2 linked regions of the Macaca fascicularis genome follow. The main gene of each other region encodes a partner of the protein of the gene in region 2 in a complex. Links are inferred from orthologs where the notes say so. Each region holds a gene or a part of one and is shown on either strand. Other genes may lie near its edges.

Region 1 (3,816 bases), on a different chromosome or scaffold from region 2:
AAAAAAAAAAACTTAGTTTCAACCTAATCCTTATTTGAAATTAAAGGTCAGATGGTTTGGTTATGTTTTACCTAATACACATTAAAATATGTAACTTTTAAAATAAAAGATGGGCCTGGCATGGTGGCTCACGTCTGTAATCCTAGCACTTTGGGAGGCTGAAGTGGATGGGATCACTTGAGGCCAGGAGTTCAAGACCAGCCTGGCCAACATGGTGATAGCCCATCTCTACTAAAAATACAAAAATTGGCCAGGCCTGGTAGCACATGCCTATAATCCCAGCTACTTGGGAGGCTGAGGCTTGAGAATCTCTTGAACCTGAGAGGCGGAAGTTGCAGTGAGATGAGATCATGTCACTGCACTCCAGCATGGGGCGACACAGGCAGACTCTGTCTCGGAAGAAAAAAAAAAAAAAAAAGAGTAACTTAACATCAATTGATTAGGAAACATAGCTCTAAAGCACAAGGAATTAATTCAGTCTTAAGAAAATATAGCTTGAGATCAAGAGACATGTAAAAACTAACTTCTTTCCCACAAATAATAACCTCATTTATTACATATATATGTTTCCAAAAAATGAAGGAATTAGTAGCAAGAGCAAATTTAATAAACTTTCAAGGAAAGTTTTTTTTATCTGTTACTACAACAAAAAAAGTGTGTCATCTGAGAAATCACAGTTGTTTAGCTAAGGGCACCATCTACTGGAGATAACAGTGACCTGACGTACACTTTTTAGGATAACATGTACTTTATTAAGTCACTTAATTACTTTTCCATCGTAATTATTTCCTGGTATAAAATGTGAAGAAAATTACTACCGTTTAACACAACCAATTTGAAGGCTAAAATTTTACAATTTCATCCCCTTCAAAACTGAAATTGAGAACTATAACACAAACTATTTTATATATAAAAGGTACAAAAATGACAACTGAAATCAGCAAATCATTTGATAATTATGAACTTACCTGGTAGGTGTTATAGTAACAGATGATACTTTTATTTTTTGAAAGTCCAAGTTTGCTCCCTTGGTCTGTTGCCAGGGCAAAAGTGGATAAGAAACCAGGTCGCAAAGCATGCTCCGGAGCATTGTCATTGGCCACTAGAAAAATAAGTGATTTAAATAAAAATTATGCAGAGGATATGATAGAGAGATTTACAGCCCTTTTTCATAAACCTCTGTTTAAAACTGAGCACAAAGGTTATGTTTCACAATATTGAAAATCATATCACTAATGGGGTCTCATCACTAATCAGGAAAAATTGCTCAGTCAAAAGTTCACTGATCACAATAGAAGAAATGCTGACTCTCACAATTTTTTTAAATTTTAAAAAGAAAATTAAATGTTTACCTTTTCTTGATATCTAACTTAAAACATAGATTAATCAAGCACATTTAACTGGTTATCTGAGGACTAGGTTAGAATAAACTAATGAAAAAAGTTACAAAACTTCTGCTCTTATAAAACCCACAGCAAGGAATATCTCTCATAGATATTAGCAATCTGCAGCTAGTTACCTGTTTCGTGTTTCTCTCACTCATTAAAAGGTCTGCATGGAGTTTGTTGTATTAATGAGTGCAGGGCTCAAGGCTTTAACACAGATATCCTCATGAAGAACATTAGAACTGGAAAATCTGAGATTATTTTGTTCAAATCCCTCATTACAGAATTAAGAGAAAGCAAGTAATCTGTCCACAACCATTCAACGACCATTTTATAGTGAGTTAGAAAGCACACTGGACCACACATCAGGAGATGATGGGTTCTGTTACTGACTCACGCCCGACTTTGGACTGCAATGTTTGAAGATTATAAACCACAGGACCTCCTTTGTTGATATTCCATGTTCTTATAATGTGTTTGTCAAAATTCTCCCAGAAATGGAATCAATGTCTATTATAGAAATGTTTATAATCTTTACAAATTCATGCAGTTTATTAATAAGAATCTAAGACACAGCTAACTCTCCACTGAAACTGCTAATGAAGTCCAAGTGTCTTTGCACTTTATTACCTTCACTTATAAAATGAAAGAACTAAATCACTTGACTTCTAAACCTCCGTTCATTTCTAAAGTCTAAAATTATCTGACATATATGACAACTCCAGGTGGAAAATTGTACACGAAATATACAGAACATTATCCAATCTTTAATGTTTGATAAAGCCATTACAGTGTCCCAAAAAAACTAGGAACATCCATGCTCATAATACCATAAAATAAAAATAGTAAAAAATTGTCTGAATCCATACTGACTCTCTGTGACATCATGTTTACTTATGATTCAAATACATGGGTATTATCCTAAAACAACTAGCAATTTGATAAAGTGTGTGTGTGTGTGTGTGTGTGTGTGTAATGTAGGGGTGTCTGTGTGTTTATCTAGCTGCCTACATGCTCACTCTCATCACTTAGATTTACTAATGGTTTACATTGCACTGTAAATGTCTTCAACGGGAAATGGGTCTGTGATAAATCCATGCTTAAACTCTAGATGTTAACATGATACACCTGATATATAATACACTGTAGATTCAAATTCAACCTTCAGCATACAAAAGCAAACACTTCCGCCAATACTAAGACCACCATCTCCTAAAATTTACTAAAATGAATTTTAGATGTTTGCCTGCTGTACTACTCAGATGTAAATTACACGCATTTTTAGTCAAAAGCAAAGAAGATATTTGCATTTAAATGTTCACTTTTACCTTTAATAACAGGTACTCCATCTCTATCTGATACAACAATGGCATGGAGCCCTTCAACACTAGAAAAAGAAAATAGTTAAAATATAAAAAAAGTTAAAATATAAAATATTTCATTTTCTCAAACTATACACCTCAAAGACATAATAATTCTCATGTATTTTCTGAAAAACCACAGGACCCCAAAATTCTCCCAGAAATGGAATCAATGTCTATTATAGAAATGTTTATAATATTTATAAATTCATGCGGTTTATTAATAAGAATCTAAGACAAAGCTAACTCTCCATTAAAACTGCTAATGAATGATCAGTCCATGGTTTACAAAAGCATGAAAGATTATCAGCAATGGCTGCAGTGACAAAAAAGAGCCTTCTTCTTTTTTCATTCATGCAAATATTAAATGGCCGGTGTTTGTGGCACTTAATACTTTGATACTATGAAAAACAGAAATAAGCACAATCATTGCCTTCACGTGGCTTCCGATCTAAAAAGTGAGTGTGTTATCAATAATCTCACAAGAACAAACGTAAAACTAAAATTGGGGGCAAGTATTGTTAAAAAGTTCATAGGGGCCAGGCATGGTGGCTCACGCCTGTAATCCCAACACTTTGGGAGGCTGAGGCGGGCAGATCACGAGGTCAGGAGATCGAGACCATCCTGGCTAACACGGTGAAACCTCATCTACTGAAAATACAAAAAAAAAAAAAAAATTAGCCGGGCGTGGTGGTGGGCACCTGTAGTCCCAGCTACTCAGGAGGCTGAGGCAGGAGAATGGCATGAACCCGGGAGGCGGAGCTTGCAGTGAGCTGAGATCGTGCCACTGCACTCCAGCCTGGGCAACAAAGCAAGACTCTGTCTCAAAAAAAAAAAAAAAAAAAAAAAGTTCATAGTGATATGAGAACCTAGAAAACAGGAGGTTGATGCAGACAGAGAGTGGACCAGGGAAGGCTTTCTGAGGCAGTAATATCTCAGCTGAGATGTTATGGTATTAAGTGAAAAGACGTGGAAAGACTGTTCCTGGCTGAAGAAACAGGGCAAAACGAATGAAGGCCATGCAGCAATGCTTTCAGCCATGCTTACAGAAGTAGTAAGCAGAATGGTCA
Region 2 (4,280 bases):
AAAGTGCTGGGATTACAGGCTTGAGCCACCGCGCGCGGCCTTAAGGAACATGTTTCTTAAGGCATCATCACTCTTCCAGGCTTTAGAGTTCTAGCTAGAGAAGTATTTCTTTTATTACCTATTTCTAGTCATTAGCAAGATATACTGATTCCTCCTTTAAAATATCTTCTCCCAGCCAAGCACAGTAGCTCATACCTATAATCCCAGCACTTTGGGAGGCCAAGGCAGGAGGACTGATGGAGGCCAGGACTTCGAGACCAACCTGGGCAACATAGCAAGACCCCTGTCCCTATAAATTTTTTTTTTTTTAATGGCTGGGCGTGGTGGTGCTTGCCTATAGTTCTAGTTACTTGGGATGCTGAGGTGGGAGGATCGCTTGGGCCCAGGAGTTCAAGACTGCAATGAGATGTGATCACACTACTGCACTTCAGCCTGAGTGACAGCAAGACTCTGTCCTAAAAAAAAAAAAAAAAAAAGGGCCGGGCGCGGTGGCTCATGCCTGTAATCCCAGCACTTTGGGAGGCTGAGGTGGGCAGATCACAAGGTCAGGAGTTCGAGACCAGCCTGGCCAACATGGCAAAACCCCATCTCTACTAAAAATACAAAAATTAGCCGGGTGTGGTGGCATACGCCTGTAATCCTAGCTACTCAGGAGGCTTAGGCGGGAGAATCGCTTGAACCTGGGAGGCGGAGGTTGCCCTGAGCTGAGATCATGCCACTGCACTCCAGCCTGGGCCACAGAGCGAGACTCTGTCTCAAAAAACAACAAAAACAAAAACAAAACTCTTCTCTCCTTGCTCCTTCTTACTGCCACTTGCCCAGTCTCATCTCTTTTTTTTTTTTTTTTTTTTTGAGACGGAGTCTTGCTCTGTCACCCAGGCTGGAGTGCAGTGGTGCAATCTTGGCTAACTGCAACCTCCGCCTTTCTGGTTCACGCCATTCTCCCGCCTCAGCCTCCCGAGTAGCTGGCGCCCACCACCACGCCTGGCCAATTTTGTTTTTGTATTTTTAACAGAGACAGGGTTTCACCGTGTTGGCCAGGATGGTCTAGCTCTCCTGACCTCGTGATCCACTCGCCTTGGCCTCCCAAAATGCTGGGATTACTAAAGACCTGAGCCACCTATGCCTGGCCCAGTCTAATCTCTTAATGATGCCTCCTTCTGCCCATCTTCACATCACTAACAACAATATTGCTCAACCACCTCACTGGGTCTTGTTTCTGTTTAAAAAACCTTTCAAGCTGTATTACCTCCAAGAAGAATAAGTTCAAGTGTGTTAACCTGGCCTTGAAGATCCTTCACAATCAGATCCTCCCTGACCATATCTTCCTCTTCCCTCAAATCTTCCCAAATCTTTTCAGCACAGACTTACCATCAGTTTAGAAAGGTCAGTGCCACACACCTGCAAATATGTCCACCTCCCCACTGTAAATACTCTCCTTTAAGCTGGGCTGAATTCCTACCTCCAGGGAAGTTAGTTACCTTGTCATAACATGTTGAATTTTTAATATCCTGGATTCCTTCAATAGTCTTTTACCACCTGTATTGTTTTCAACACTTAACCTTAAGCTTTGTCTCTAGCTAAATCAAAAACATCTAGAGACCTAACACTATACAGTACTATGGAACAAAATACAAATGACTCTTTAAGAAATATCAAATAAAGGCCAGGGATGTTGGCTCACGCCTGTAATCCCAGCACTTTGGGAGGCTGAGGCAGGTGGATCACCTGAGGTCAGGAGTTTGAGACCAGCCTGGCTAACACGGTGAAACCCCGTTTCTACTAAAAATACAAAAAATTAGCCGAGCGTGGTGGCACATGCCTGTAATCCCAGCTACTCTGGAGGCTGAGGCAGGACAATCGCTTGAACCCCGGAGGCGGAGGTTGCAGTGAGCGGAGATCGCACCACTGCACTCCAGCTTGGGCAACAAGAATGAAACTCAGTTTCAAAAAGTGTAAATAAATAAATAAATAAATAAACCGCAACCGTTAGGAGACTAAGATTCCACAGACTGATTACTGAAAGTAATTGCAAAAACTGCAAATACTTTTGTACCAACCTAATAGATGCCAGACCGCAAACCAGGTAAAAGTCGAGAAAAGAAGGGCCAATATTAGAAGGGGTTACCGGGCTGTGTGCACTAAGGGACCCCCTCCCTTTTCCAGAACGCACCGCCAGCACTGCACCTTCACTCAGTACCAGGTAGCCGAGCTGGTCTGGGATTCGCTCCAGCCCCTGGGTCAGTGCAGAAGTCTAGTGGGTAAAGATGCAAGTAGTGAGAAGCATGCTAGAGGGATGGATGGCCCCTGATACCCTTCACCTACAAACCCAAGTCTCTTGATTGGCGATGGCCCCAGGTTTTCTCATTCCCCAGCCAGGTCCTTTCCCGGCTCCCTTCCCCCTACATGGTCCTCAATACTGATCTTCCCGAGCCTCCATCTGCCCCCACTCTCGGCCCCCGGGCTCCCCTGGCCTTCCACGCTCCACCTATGCTACTCCGAGGGGACTTCGCTGCCCCACTGGCCCCTGCCCCCAGACCCTCTCTCCACCTCCCCGCCCCTGACCTGCAGACTACCCGCAGCCCCAGAACACCCTCCCACAGACCCCTCCCCAGCATTCCCGTCGCCATCCCTCCCATCTCCATCCCGTCTTCCTCCCCGAGCGGATAGGAGGTGAGGGTGGAGCGCAGACCCACGAGGGGGAAACCACACAGATTGGGGAGCAGAGACGCGGAACCCCCGGCGGGTCCTCCCGCGCATGCGTCCTCACTCACCATCGCAGTCTTCGGTGCTGGTGGAGCTCCCTACCAGATAGGTAGCTTCCGGCTTCAGGCCCCGGTCACGTGCTCGCACCCGGCGCGCTCCTCCTTCTGCTTGCTTCCCTACCCTTTAGCCGCGCCTCTAGCATGAGGATTGGATCGTGGCCACGTCGTCAGACCCAACCAGCCAGTGCGAAGCGCTCCTTCCCGGAGGCGCACGTTGATTGGTGATATCCCCTCTTTAACACCCATCTCTCCGCCTCTCAGTCAGTGCCTGAGCGAGAGGAGGCGGGAGTGCTTCCGCGGAGGGGACGGTGTGGGAGGGCCAGGAGTGGGACAGGGTTGACCGTGTGGCTCCGCGCGCGCTTTCTAGAGTCTGGGTTCCGCCTGAACCAGGATGCCCGCCAGTGTGACCTCCCAAACGAATGCCTTCCCAGGTTTAAGACTGGACCCAAAAAACGTGATAATAAAAGGAAATAACGTGCAATGCATGTAAAAAGCTATTCAAGGCTGGGCGCCCAACCTTCAAATGCTACTTTTATGCCTACTCAAGACCGCTCTTTGTTGAAGACAAGAATTTGTTCCCTTGGCCGGGCGCGGTGGCTCACAACTGTAATCCCAGAACTTTGGGAGGCCGAGGCGGGCGGATCACGAGGTCAGAAGATGGAAACCATCCTGGCTAACACAGTGAAACCCTGTCCCTACTAAAAAATACAAAAAATTAGCTAGGCGTGGTGGCGGGCGCCTGTAGTTCCAGCTATTCGGGAGGCTGAGGCAGGAGAATGGCGCGAACCTGGGAGGTGGAGCTTGCAGTGAGTCGAGATGACGCCACTGCACTCCAGCCTGGGAGACAGCGAGACTACATCTCAAAAAAAAAAAAAAAAAAAAAAAAAAAGATTTTGTTCCCAAAGTGGTTTTTTGTCTTCAGATTCAGTCTGGGACAATGTGATGGTGAATAGAATCACCAGCTAGCCAATGCAGATACAATACTGAATATTCTCTGCAGGAAAAAATTAGAAACAGTACCTTGGAATGATACACACACACACACATACATACATACATACATACATACATCACACAATGTAAACATTGGAAATTTTTGTTTTAAATAATTTCTAGACCTGTTGCCGTATTAATGTGGTGGAGGCAGTGTTAGTGAGTAATATGAAGAGTGATTCTAGAAGCCTGGGCAACATAGCAAGACCCCATCTCTAAAAATTTAAAAATTAACCAGGCATGATACCGCACATGTAGTCCCAGCTACCGGGGAGGCTGAGGTGGGAGAATTGCTTGAGCCCAGGAGTTTGAAGCTGCAGTGAGCCATGATCATGCTACTGCACTCCAGACTGGGTAAAAGAGCAAGATTGTCTCAAAAACAAACCAAAAAAATCTGAATATAGTAACAATTGTTGAAGTCTGGGTGTCTTTTAAGACTTGTTAGAAACAACAATCAAGGCTGGGCATGGTAGCTCACACCTGTAATCCCAGCAGTTTGGGAGACCAAGGCGGGTGGATCAC

Evidence for each region.
Region 1: LAMTOR4 (region 2) and LAMTOR3 share a complex: the UniProt entries of both Homo sapiens proteins name them as parts of the ragulator complex. The link is inferred for Macaca fascicularis from reciprocal best matches to the Homo sapiens genes LAMTOR4 and LAMTOR3.

What each region holds. Positions count from the first base shown.
Region 1 is NC_088379.1:105,526,490-105,530,305, forward strand, and holds part of LAMTOR3 (ragulator complex protein LAMTOR3), read right to left. Parts: intron 2,773-3,816; coding exon 2,714-2,772; intron 1,103-2,713; coding exon 969-1,102; intron 1-968. UniProt on the Homo sapiens protein: As part of the Ragulator complex it is involved in amino acid sensing and activation of mTORC1, a signaling complex promoting cell growth in response to growth factors, energy levels, and amino acids.
Region 2 is NC_088377.1:48,815,613-48,819,892, reverse strand, and holds the start of LAMTOR4 (ragulator complex protein LAMTOR4), read right to left. Parts: upstream 2,852-4,280; 5' UTR 2,778-2,851; coding exon 2,775-2,777; intron 2,255-2,774; coding exon 2,174-2,254; intron 1-2,173. UniProt on the Homo sapiens protein: As part of the Ragulator complex it is involved in amino acid sensing and activation of mTORC1, a signaling complex promoting cell growth in response to growth factors, energy levels, and amino acids.